2 linked regions of the Arabidopsis thaliana genome follow. The protein of the gene in region 1 purifies or fractionates together with the protein of each later gene. This does not show direct contact. Each region holds a gene or a part of one and is shown in the gene's direction. Other genes may lie near its edges. The genes, in order: AT4G24830 and AT2G35040.

Evidence for each region.
Region 2: the proteins of AT4G24830 (region 1) and AT2G35040 fractionate together in Arabidopsis thaliana (co-fractionation; one large-scale study listed by BioGRID). This does not show direct contact.

The regions. Positions count from the first base shown.
Region 1 is NC_003075.7:12,792,029-12,797,959, reverse strand, and holds AT4G24830 (arginosuccinate synthase family), read left to right. Parts: upstream 1-1,928; 5' UTR 1,929-2,102; coding exon 2,103-2,175; intron 2,176-2,370; coding exon 2,371-2,426; intron 2,427-2,513; coding exon 2,514-2,595; intron 2,596-2,713; coding exon 2,714-2,852; intron 2,853-2,971; coding exon 2,972-3,020; intron 3,021-3,127; coding exon 3,128-3,310; intron 3,311-3,427; coding exon 3,428-3,502; intron 3,503-3,591; coding exon 3,592-3,777; intron 3,778-3,905; coding exon 3,906-3,994; intron 3,995-4,322; coding exon 4,323-4,875; 3' UTR 4,876-5,133; downstream 5,134-5,931. Other genes in the region: AT4G24840 (oligomeric golgi complex subunit-like protein), read left to right, coding at 153-353, 543-647, 748-873, 1,088-1,222, 1,322-1,435; AT4G24820 (26S proteasome regulatory subunit Rpn7), read left to right, coding at 5,361-5,499, 5,598-5,712.
Region 2 is NC_003071.7:14,764,374-14,769,978, reverse strand, and holds AT2G35040 (AICARFT/IMPCHase bienzyme family protein), read left to right. Parts: upstream 1-1,660; 5' UTR 1,661-1,709; coding exon 1,710-1,817; intron 1,818-1,891; exon of another isoform or gene 1,892-1,910; coding exon 1,911-2,010; intron 2,011-2,107; coding exon 2,108-2,183; intron 2,184-2,286; coding exon 2,287-2,383; intron 2,384-2,539; coding exon 2,540-2,642; intron 2,643-2,749; coding exon 2,750-2,883; intron 2,884-2,979; coding exon 2,980-3,157; intron 3,158-3,242; coding exon 3,243-3,400; intron 3,401-3,530; coding exon 3,531-3,740; intron 3,741-3,810; coding exon 3,811-4,158; intron 4,159-4,247; coding exon 4,248-4,374; intron 4,375-4,480; coding exon 4,481-4,632; 3' UTR 4,633-4,834; downstream 4,835-5,605. Other genes in the region: AT2G35050 (kinase superfamily with octicosapeptide/Phox/Bem1p domain-containing protein), read right to left, coding at 1-271; URED (urease accessory protein D), read left to right, coding at 4,934-5,032, 5,118-5,183, 5,269-5,343, 5,442-5,486.

The DNA.
Region 1 (5,931 bases):
ATCTCCATTATGATTAGAATAGCAAGTAAAAAATGCTGTGGAAATTAAGTAAACTCGGAAGATCTGCTATAAATACATGAAATCAGATCACATAGACCATATGGTTGATCGTTTGATTTTTTGGGATTATTTACATGTTTCCTTCCTGGCAGGTTATACATGATGTAAATTGTCTAGTCTCAGAAGTTTGCGGCGATTACCTTGGACATATATCACAGTATTTATCTTCAAGCTCCACTGAAGTTCTTGATGTGGTGAGGATCAGCATAGAACAGGGTGGGGTATCATTAGAGAAAGTCCTACCTTTACTTACCAAGACAATAATTGACGTCATTGTTGATAAATCTGTTGAGGTAAACCTTTGAAAAAGCATTAGATCCGTTCTTTAATTTGTAAACTTCAAGATTTGCTTGACTGCCTTGGTGAGCACCTGCAGAAACAATGTTTCTTAGAATTTGCTGTATAGCTGAATTAGGTTAGAGTTATTCTCCAAGTCTGACACATATTTAACTCTGTAACGGTAAATGCTTTATCTCCTATAGGACCTAAGGCAGCTCAGGGGGATAACCGCTACATTTAGGATGACTAATAAGCCACTGCCTGTTAGGCACTCACCATATGTCGTTGGGCTATTGCGTCCTGTAAAGGTATTAATTCAGCTTTTGGTTGCGATTTTAAAAATATTTTATAGTTGCTTGACCGATGGATTCTGAAGTGTGGATTATTGCTCCTTCTCTTTTATAACAGGCTTTTTTGGAGGGAGATAAGGCTAGAAACTACTTGACCCAAAAAACAAAGGAGGAGTTACTGCATGGCAGTGTCAGTGAAATTACCAGGCGGTATTATGAATTAGCTGCTGATGTTGTTAGCGTGGTAAGTACTCTGTTATAAACACTTTTTGAGGATTTGAATTGACAATATAACCCCAGTAGCCAAAACAAAAACCAGAATCATTCTTTCTATCCCTAAAGATCGTTTTCAATTTTTTTTATTTTTTTTTTACTATAAAGATGCAGAGATGGTGAGTAATTTATGTGTAGTGAAAGGCGGTAGAGAATCTAGATATATTGATTGTATTATGTTACAGGCAAGAAAAACACAGTCATCGCTTCAGAAATTGCGTCAAAATGCACAGAGACGAGGAGGTGCAGCATCAGGTGTTTCTGATCAAAATGTATCTGAAACAGACAAGATGTGTATGCAGTTGTTCCTTGATATTCAGGTAAGACCTTCTTCATGATGATTCATTGTGTGATTTATAAATTTTCTCTGCAAATTTTTGTTTACAAGCAAGTAACATAATCGGATAATATCTTACCAGGAGTATGGCCGAAACGTTTCTGCTTTGGGGCTGAAACCGGCGGATATTCCGGAGTACTGTTCCTTCTGGCAATGCGTTGCACCTGCGGATAGGCAAAACTCAATTAGTGTTTGAGGACGCTCGCTTCCATACATACATCATTGTGGTATCATATATCTGATAATAAGAAATCGCTGCTTCTTCTTTTCTATAGCTTGTGTTTGTTTGCTTTAACAGTGAAGATAAGAGGAAGAGAGTTTTGTTGAAGAGAGAGTGTTTTTTTTTTTCCGCCGAAGTTGCATTATGTGAGGTCTGAGTTTAGTGCCAGCTTTGGCCATTTAATCTTTTATGTAGGACTATTTCATCTTCAGTATATAACACGCACCAAAGGGAATGAAACTTTTAACTCTTAATTTCTTTTGTTTTCTCGTATATAACTGAACCAAAGAAACTATCAATTGTCTAAACATACCAAACCGACATTTAACCGGTTTCGAATTCTAAATCATTGGGGAATTGAGAGAGATATACATTGTTTAACGGTGTATAATCTGTCGAAATCTGCTCTTAGTTTGTTGGGTTTAAATATGGAAACGTTTTTCATATTTGAAGAAAGAAAAATCAATGAGAAATAACAAAAAAACGATATCGCCGTCGTAATAGAGAAAAAAAAAAAAGAGTGTCGAAACCCTAGAGGACGTGGACACTGTTGGCATTCTTAAAAGAGCCACAAACCCCATTGTCGAACGAACACAAAACCAAACCGCAGACAAAGAAACAAATTCGCAGACAATAGTCGAAAATGGCTGAAATCTCGGCGACTTCGTTTCCTTCTTCTTCTTCCTCTGCTCTCGTCATCCGTAGCTCCCACAATGGTTCTCTCTCTCTCTCTATCCCCCCATTTCTTGTCTCCTCCATTTCGTTTCCTTGTTTTTATATTATTACCAATAGCTCTAGCTTGAATACAAAATTCTCCATTTCCCCGACAGTTTTCGTTTCTGATGTCTATTTTTATCTCCGCGAATTGCAAATGGGACTTCAAGTTATTAATATCTGATATAATTTCGCAGGTAGCTTAAAATGTCAGAATGTAGCTGTTCCAAAAACTACTTCCCAGTTCCAAGAGGTACATCCATTTGAAATCGATGCTCATACTTGTTGTTTCTTCGATGATACAACTAAATTCTGTATTTGCTTTTTACTGAATTTGCAGTTATCTCTGAAACGAAGCCAGCTTGTTGGCAATGCCGTTGTTACCGGTCATGTTACCGGATCCCGCAGCTGCAAGAATCAAGGTAAAGTTAGCATTACACTGAATCAATCCATTTCCTTTAACATATATTCTTTATCCCCTCTTGATGAAATTTTCCATTAGTACGTTTTAAACAATTTGCTGTCTTGAATATTGCACAGCTATTCGAGCTGTTCTATCCGGTGATGGAACCGCCTTGACTACTGATTCAAAGGAGGCTGGACTTCGTGGAAAACTGAAAAAGGTCGTTCTAGCTTACAGTGGAGGCTTAGACACCTCTGTCATTGTGCCATGGCTTAAGTATGTTTTCCTTTTTCTTGAGTTTATTTCTGACCTCTAACAAGAATACGTTTTGAATCTTCCTCTGGTTATGAAACAACTAGTCTGACCTTCCTTATATGTAACTATTTGTTTTCTAGGGAGAACTATGGTTGTGAAGTTGTGTGCTTCACTGCTGATGTTGGTCAGGTACATCACAAAAATGCCACATGTCAACTGTTTTAGTTAAGAAATGAAGTTTTATGTTGTTGCAATCTGCTTATGTCTTCTCAACCTCTAAATACTTTGATGTGAAGGGCATAAAAGAGTTAGAGGGTTTAGAACAAAAGGCTAAGGCTAGTGGTGCTTCTCAGTTGGTCGTTAAGGATCTCACAGAGGAGTTTGTGAAAGATTTCATCTTCCCTTGTCTTAGAGCTGGTGCCATCTATGAACGAAAATACTTGCTTGGTACCTCCATGGCTCGACCTGTCATTGCTAAGGTAACATTTCGAATGGTTTTATATGATTGACTTGTGAGGACTACCCCCACTATTTCTAATATCTGGATATATCTTTTGGATTACATATTGTCACTAATACATTTTCTAAATGATTAGGCCATGGTTGATGTAGCAGCAGAGGTTGGAGCTGATGCCGTTGCACATGGGTGTACTGGAAAAGGAAATGACCAGGCAAGTACTTGGAATGTCTTGCTAATGCGTCACATTGGAAAACACGCATTGATTCTTACATTACTTTTTTGTACTGATTGATTGACCAGGTTCGGTTTGAGCTCACCTTCTTTTCATTAAACCCTGAACTTAAAGTTGTGGCACCATGGAGAGAATGGGAAATCCAAGGCCGAGAAGATGCTATTGAGTATGCAAAGAAGCATAATGTTCCCGTCCCAGTGACAAAGAAGTCCATTTACAGCCGGGACAGAAACCTGTGGCACCTTAGTCATGAGGTAAAGTAAAAGACAAGTGTTGGTTCGCATTTTTCTTTTGGATACAAATTGATCCAGTTTGTCACATTGCTCAGTTCCTAATAATGTGTCTCATGCTCTGATATCAAACTTATGTGTTTTGTTGAAAGGGTGATCTATTGGAAGATCCAGCAAACGAGCCAAAGAAAGATATGTACATGATGAGTGTGGATCCTGAAGATGCTCCTGATCAGCCTGAGTAAGTTGGAATTTCTTTGAGCCCTTGTGTTTAACTATGCACTGTAATTACCCCAAGGTGGTTTGTAGTGGATTATAGCTGTGTTGATAGTTTGAAAACTAAAGTTGAGTCAGTTAGCTACAGAGCTGAGGTTTAGGCAGAATGAGTTGGTGTGTTCAGGATTTGTTTATGGTTTGGGATTGGGAATCAGATCTAGAATAGAGAGTTCTCGTTATTAAAGTCTCTCAAAGGAGTTAACTGGTTTAGCTGCTATGCTATCAAATTTAGATACCAAGAGTAGGATTTTGCAATTTGCATCCTAACTTTTGATACTTACACACTTATACAGATACATCGAGATCGGGATAGAATCTGGACTTCCAGTGGCGCTGAACGGGAAGGCTCTGAGTCCAGCCACACTTCTGGCCGAGCTAAACACAATAGGAGGAAAGCACGGGATTGGGCGGATTGACATGGTTGAGAACCGTCTGGTTGGGATGAAATCACGAGGTGTGTATGAAACTCCTGGAGGCACTATCCTCTTTGCAGCTGTACAGGAACTAGAATCCCTCACTCTAGACAGAGAGAGTATTCAGGTAAAAGACACATTAGCACTGAAATATGCAGAGATGGTCTACGCAGGAAGATGGTTTGATCCGCTTAGGGAGTCCATGGACGCTTTCATGGAGAAGATAACCGAGACAACCACGGGATCTGTGACACTGAAGCTGTACAAAGGATCTGTGTCGGTTACAGGGCGTCAGAGTCCTAACAGTCTGTATAGACAGGACATATCTTCGTTTGAAGGGAGTGAGATCTACAACCAAGCGGATGCAGCCGGGTTTATTCGTCTTTACGGGCTTCCAATGAAAATTAGAGCTATGCTTAAGAAAATTAGCTAGAAATGGTTTTCATTCATGTCTTACTTGGAATTGAGAGCCTGACATTAGAACACATCCCTTATTGTGATGCGTCGTCATAGCTTCAGCTTCTTTCGAAATAATTCTATCATCTTTCTTCACTTTGGAAAAACTTGAGAAATTTAATAATGAGTGCCTCTTTCTTTTATGATTTCCATTGGAAAGAGATATAAAATATAAATATCCATTACTTGAATTCAACGATCTTAAGTTTAAATTATTTATAACGAGAATTTAAATGTAAATGTTTTTTACTTTTTTTTCTTATGGTAAAAATTCCAAATTTAAATGTAAAAAAAGATAAGGGTGTTTAAGGTAATGCGAAACTTATTTTTTTTTTACATACACAAAAAAAAAAAACCATCGGACCTGAAATCTTTGTAAGCTCTTCCTCCTTGCTCAAGCAAACCTCTTTTTATATATTTGCTCTCTCTCTCTCAGATCCGATTCAAGCTTTCCGATTTGCGATGGACGGTGGAGCGGAAGGATCTCAGCAGCCTCACCTTATTCTAGCCAACAAGCTCTTCCTCCTCACTCATCCAGATGTTCCAGACATCGAGAAAGTCCAGCTCAAGTCTGAGGTTTTGGATTTCATCAGATCCCATGGTTAAGCAGCTCCTTTTCTCTAATCAGTGAGAATTAGCTTAATATTTCTTCGAGATTTTATGTTCCTGATGTTTCGTTGGTGTTTTTATTTATTTTAGGTATGGCTCCTTTGTACGAAACCCTAATTGCCTCTTCGGTGCTGGATTTGGATCAAAGCTTGTTAGAGTCTATGCGGGCCGCTAATGAAGAGGAGCTTAAGAAGCTCGACGAGAAGTAAGTTTCCTTCAGTTTCTCACTTTTATTTGGCAGTGCTTTGAAATTCGAATTCTCGTATTAGTATTTTGGGTTAGATTGATGTAGGGGGACTGTAGCATTCTGGGTCTCAAATTGGATTCAGAATTGTGTTTGCAAAAGTCCACTATGAATTTTGGGAATCTCCATGTTCCTGTGGTAGCTGATGTAGCATGATGTCTTAGTATTCTTAGGGAGATA
Region 2 (5,605 bases), on another chromosome or scaffold:
CACTGTGCTCACCATACACATTTGGGATGAACTGCGGTTTCATAATAACCCTATCTCTCATAAACTCAAAAGCAAATTCTTCACCGGTCTGTATTGAGTAGTTTAGCACTGGCCGAGCAGGGGTTGAAACACCATAATCTGGAGGTCGTACATAAGTGTTAACATTAGTTGAAGAGTCGTGGGAAAACCTTTGATTAATGGAGCCAAGTCCCTCATCTCTAGGGTCAGGGGCAGTATACCGAACATGTTCATAACCTTTTGCTTGATCCATGTTTTCTTTCTCAAGGTGTCTATCTATCTAGTTCATAAGCTCCCTCACAAACGCTTGTAGGCGACATATCATGATCATGACCCAAGTAAAATCTTTGCATAAGCATCCTTCGCAAATTTCTAACGTTTTGGCTGCAGAACAGGACGACTTCTATCATGAACAACTCAAACTCTCATTGAGGTGCCTGAAATAGGAGAAGAGTAACTTTACTCAAGTAGTCAAACATATTCAAGAACAAAAAAACCAAAATAGCATACGGCTAAAACTCAGAAAACCATACTATTTAAGGAACATTTTCGGTATACAAACCAATAAAACTCTTTACTCTAGCAGGGACAGATCATCCAGTACAAATATCTGACTGTGCATACTTTCCAACATGAAACTAGCTAAAATGACTACTTTCTAGTCTCTTCAAGTTTAAACTAACAGGAATCGCTGAAACTAAAATCGATCAACTTCACCAAACTATTAGCAAACCCATCGTAACTTTGAGAGAGTGTAAATCAACAGATCAAAACATAGAACTAAATCCAAAATTCAATCAAGTCCGTGAAACAATTCCAAACCTCAAAAAGGAAACAAATAAGCGTCATTTCGAACCAAAAACTGAGCTAAAAACCTCTACCCAACCAAAAAACAAAAGCCGATCAAGCCATCAAAACCACTGAAACTCTAGAAAATGCAAGATCTGAGTATCATTACCCGAAATTCAGGTGGAAACACATCGGATCCAGAGATTTTCGATAATAATGATCAAAATTCAAAAACAGCATACACCTAAAAGGAAGACGAGTAAGCAAAGAAGGAGAGAAGTAGAGAAAAAGGTTTATACCAGGAAAGGCGGCACCAGAGACTGTGAAGCGTCCTCGGTTTGACGATCGATGAGTAGGAGAAGAAGCCAAGTCCTTCCTTAAAATCTCTCTTCTAATTTTGACAATTCGAAAAACAAAACTATATTCTCGAGAAAAAAACTATTATGCCTACCAATAAAATAATTGTTATCTACTTACATTATTTAAAATTCTGAAAAGCAAATAAAATATCATATAAAACATAAGAAGCTTTCGTCATCTCCATAGTTAGTCTTTTGTAATATTACCACTCTGATCCAATAAAGTTTTATTTCTTACTAATTAGTTTACACTTGAGAATTTTGGTTTCTACTAAATTTTTTAAAATTTGGAGTTAAAATAGTTTAGTTTTATTTTTGGGGGAAATAAAAAGAGAAGCTTTATTCCAATTTTCCAAATATTCCAGGTGTAATCTAACTGTCAAGGCCATAATAATAAATACATAATTCCACCTGACGCCAATAATAAATTACATATTTTCCTTTTTTTTTTATTTTTTTTTCTAATTTATTTCCAAAATTAGCCGCAAAATCACAAAACCTAACAGAGCTCAACACTACACACTGTTTCAAAATCAGACTACTATGCTCAGCTCAGCCGCCACCGCCACCTCCGTGAGTGCTCGCTCCGGCGATATTCTCTGCGGCTTGTTTCGCAAAAAATCCGTCGCGCCTTTTCGTTTTACTCAGCCTGTGAGTTCTCCTCTGTGTGTGGACGTGTTCCTTTGTGTCTTTGTTTCATGTTCTGCTAAACTTTTTAATATTAGTGGAATTTTCAATGAGCAGGTCTATCGTACGTCGCTGTGTCCAAGTTTCGTTGCTGTTCGAGCCATGGCAGAGTCTCAGACTGCTCAGAGGAATCAGCCGCAATCCTCAGGCTCCTCTGGTTTACAATTTTTCTTTTTGCTGCAATTTCAAATTCAGTGATCGATTTTCAGTTACGTTTTAGTGATTTTCAAATAATCGGGCTTTAATTGAATCAGGGGAGAAGCAAGCTTTGATATCTCTATCTGACAAGAGGGACTTGGCTTCTCTTGGCAACGGTCTGCAAGAATTGGGGTATGTGTTCTTCACAACTCTCTCTTACTTAGAACTATACAAATTTTGGTTTTGTTTCTATCTTATATGTAAATGATTCCTTTTTTCATTGATATTTGTGTAGATACACTATTGTTTCTACTGGAGGAACTGCCTCTACTTTGGAGAATGCTGGAGTCTCTGTGACCAAAGTGGAGAAGCTTACTCATTTTCCAGAAATGGCATGTTTTTCTTTTCTCTTATGCTCGCTGCTCTTGCTAAAAGTTTTGGTCTTGTGATCTCGCTGATATTTATATTTAAGTTTTGGTTTATACCATTGTTTTGTTGAGTTTAGTATATTAAACTTAGCTCTCCTTTTTTTTTTTCTTCTCTTAAAGCTTGATGGCCGTGTGAAAACTTTGCATCCAAACATACATGGTGGTATCCTCGCTAGAAGGGATGTGGAGCATCATATGGAAGCTCTTAATGAGCATGGGATTGGTGAGTTTTGACCTTTGATTGATCCTCTACATTAAGCTTGAGACTAAGTCATTTATAGTGTCTCCTTATGTTTAACTGTACCTTTTTTTTTTTTAATTCTATGACAGGTACATTTGATGTTGTGGTTGTCAATTTGTACCCGTTCTATGAAAAAGTTACTGCTCCAGGTGGGATCAGTTTTGAGGATGGGATTGAGAACATTGACATTGGTGGCCCTGCTATGATTAGAGCAGCTGCTAAGGTAATACATATATCTGTGCATATGAGACTTTTTCTTTACACTTGCAAGATTATTTTCAAGATTATAAATGTATATTTTCTATTGTTTTTTCAACAGAACCACAAAGACGTTCTCATTGTTGTCGATTCAGGAGATTATCAAGCTGTTTTGGAGTATCTCAAAGGAGGACAGAGCGACCAACAATTCCGCAGAAAACTTGCGTGGAAGGCCTTTCAGCATGTTGCTGCATATGATTCTGCGGTTTCAGAATGGCTATGGAAGCAGACTGAAGGAAGTATGTGATTGTTTTTATGTGATCCTCCTTACACTAGTTATGGCAATTGGCAACTTACATTGATTGATATTCATGTCTTTCTCAGAAGAGAAGTTCCCTCCCAGCTTTACAGTTCCGCTTGTACTTAAGAGTTCTCTTCGTTACGGTGAAAATCCTCATCAAAAAGCTGCATTTTATGTTGATAAGAGCCTTGCTGAAGTGAATGCCGGTGGTATCGCAACAGCGATTCAGCATCATGGAAAGGTAAGAAAGTATGCTACTTTTTCTGTCCGGTGTAATTTACAGAGCAAATAGTTTTAAACTGCCATTTATATCCTTATCCTCGCTTTCAAGCCTTATTATGTTTAACTTTTCTATTTATTTCTGTGAGCAGGAAATGTCATACAACAACTATCTTGATGCTGACGCTGCATGGAACTGTGTGTCGGAATTTGAAAACCCAACATGTGTAGTCGTGAAGCATACAAATCCTTGTGGTGTGGCCTCTCGTGATGATATTCTTGAGGCTTACCGGCTAGCTGTAAAAGCTGACCCAGTTAGTGCCTTTGGTGGCATTGTAGCTTTCAATGTTGAAGTTGACGAGGTAATCAAAAGTCAAACTACTGTTGTCCCATACATTATTCAATTGTTTAGTGATCTGTAACTGTCTCTAGGTTCTTGCGAGGGAGATCCGAGAGTTCAGGAGCCCAACAGACGGGGAAACTAGAATGTTTTATGAAATCGTGGTTGCTCCAAAGTATACTGCTAAAGGTCTTGAAGTCCTCAAAGGGAAATCAAAAACTTTGAGGATCCTCGAAGCTAAAAAGAATGACCAAGGGAAACTATCGCTCAGACAGGTTGGTGGCGGCTGGTTGGCTCAGGACTCGGACGATTTAACTCCAGAAGACATCAGCTTCAATTCTGTCTCAGACAAAACTCCGACTGAAAGCGAACTTGCGGATGCAAAATTTGCCTGGCTCTGCGTTAAGCATGTCAAGAGCAATGCCATTGTGATAGCAAAGGTTGGATTTTCCTCTCTGATTCCTTTTCTTGTTTCTCTTTCTGTACTTGTTTGCTAGTAGTTTATTCTGATTCTTGGGTTGGCTCATAGAACAATTGTATGCTGGGGATGGGAAGCGGACAGCCAAACCGAGTAGAGAGTCTGAGAATAGCTTTCAAGAAAGCTGGGGAGGAAGCTAAAGGAGCTGCCTTGGCCAGTGACGCATTCTTCCCATTCGGTATATATATTTTTCTCTCCGAAACCATTCTTCTGTCTGAAATGACTCATCAATCAACAAATGTTAGCCGTTCTGAATTGGAAATTTGTTGTTGTGTGAATTGCAGCTTGGAAAGATGCGGTGGAAGAGGCGTGCCAGATGGGAATAGGAGTGATAGCAGAACCTGGAGGCAGTATTAGAGACCAAGACGCTATTGATTGCTGCAAAAAGTATGGAGTCTCTCTGCTCTTCACCAACGTTAGACATTTCCGCCATTAAGGACACATCCCTCCAGTTTTGCTCTTATAAACACATCCAAGAGAGTTTCTGAAGAAGAAAACCCACCAAACAAAACACAAAGAGTGGGAAATAAAACTGTTGTAACATTAATTTGGATTGCGTTCGAGTTTATGTATGATTAGAACCTGAGAGCTGTTCCTACTTATAAATTTGACATTTTTCACCCAAAATCATATCTTTCTCTACATCCAGAAACTGATGAGATTTGCATATAAAATATTCAACATTTCTACTCAAACTGGAGTGAGAAAGTCGACGACAGTGTGGAGAGAGATCAGAGATGGCGACAGGGAAAGTGGTGGTGGAGAAAGTGGGAGGAAGATCTACAGCTACGAGCTGCTTCTCGAAGTATCCTCTCAAGTTCTTACTTCCTAGCAAGGTCTCCTCTCTCTCTCTACGTAGAGTTCACAGTTTCGAATTTTCAATCTTTAGTTATTAAAGTTCCGGCGACACTGAACTTTCAGGCAGCTCCTGCTGGAACTGACGTTGTCTGGATTTACAGTATCACTTATGGTGGCGGCATTGTCTCTGTATTTCCCTATTTCTCTGTCTCTTTATTAATGAATTTGCCATCGATGCGCTTGAATCAATCTAGTTCTTGTTCAAATTATGTAGGGCGATTCGATTTCATGTGAATTCACAATTGGTGATGGATGCACTGCAGTTATTACAACGCAGTCTTCTACTAAGGTTGAATCAATTTAGGGCTTTTCTCTCTCTTTGCAATGGACACTAATTTCATCCTACGTGGTTGACTTTCTGTTGATGGATCTTGTGATTTCACACAGGTGTACAAGGCAATAGGATCAAAGTGTTCTGAACAGATATTGGAAGTAATGTTTCTTTCACATTTCTACTAAAATCATTTTGAGCTTTCTTAGTAGAACAGAGTGCTATTGCAATAGAATAGGACCATTTTCTTTGATTCATGTTCCTGATTGATCTTTCGGTT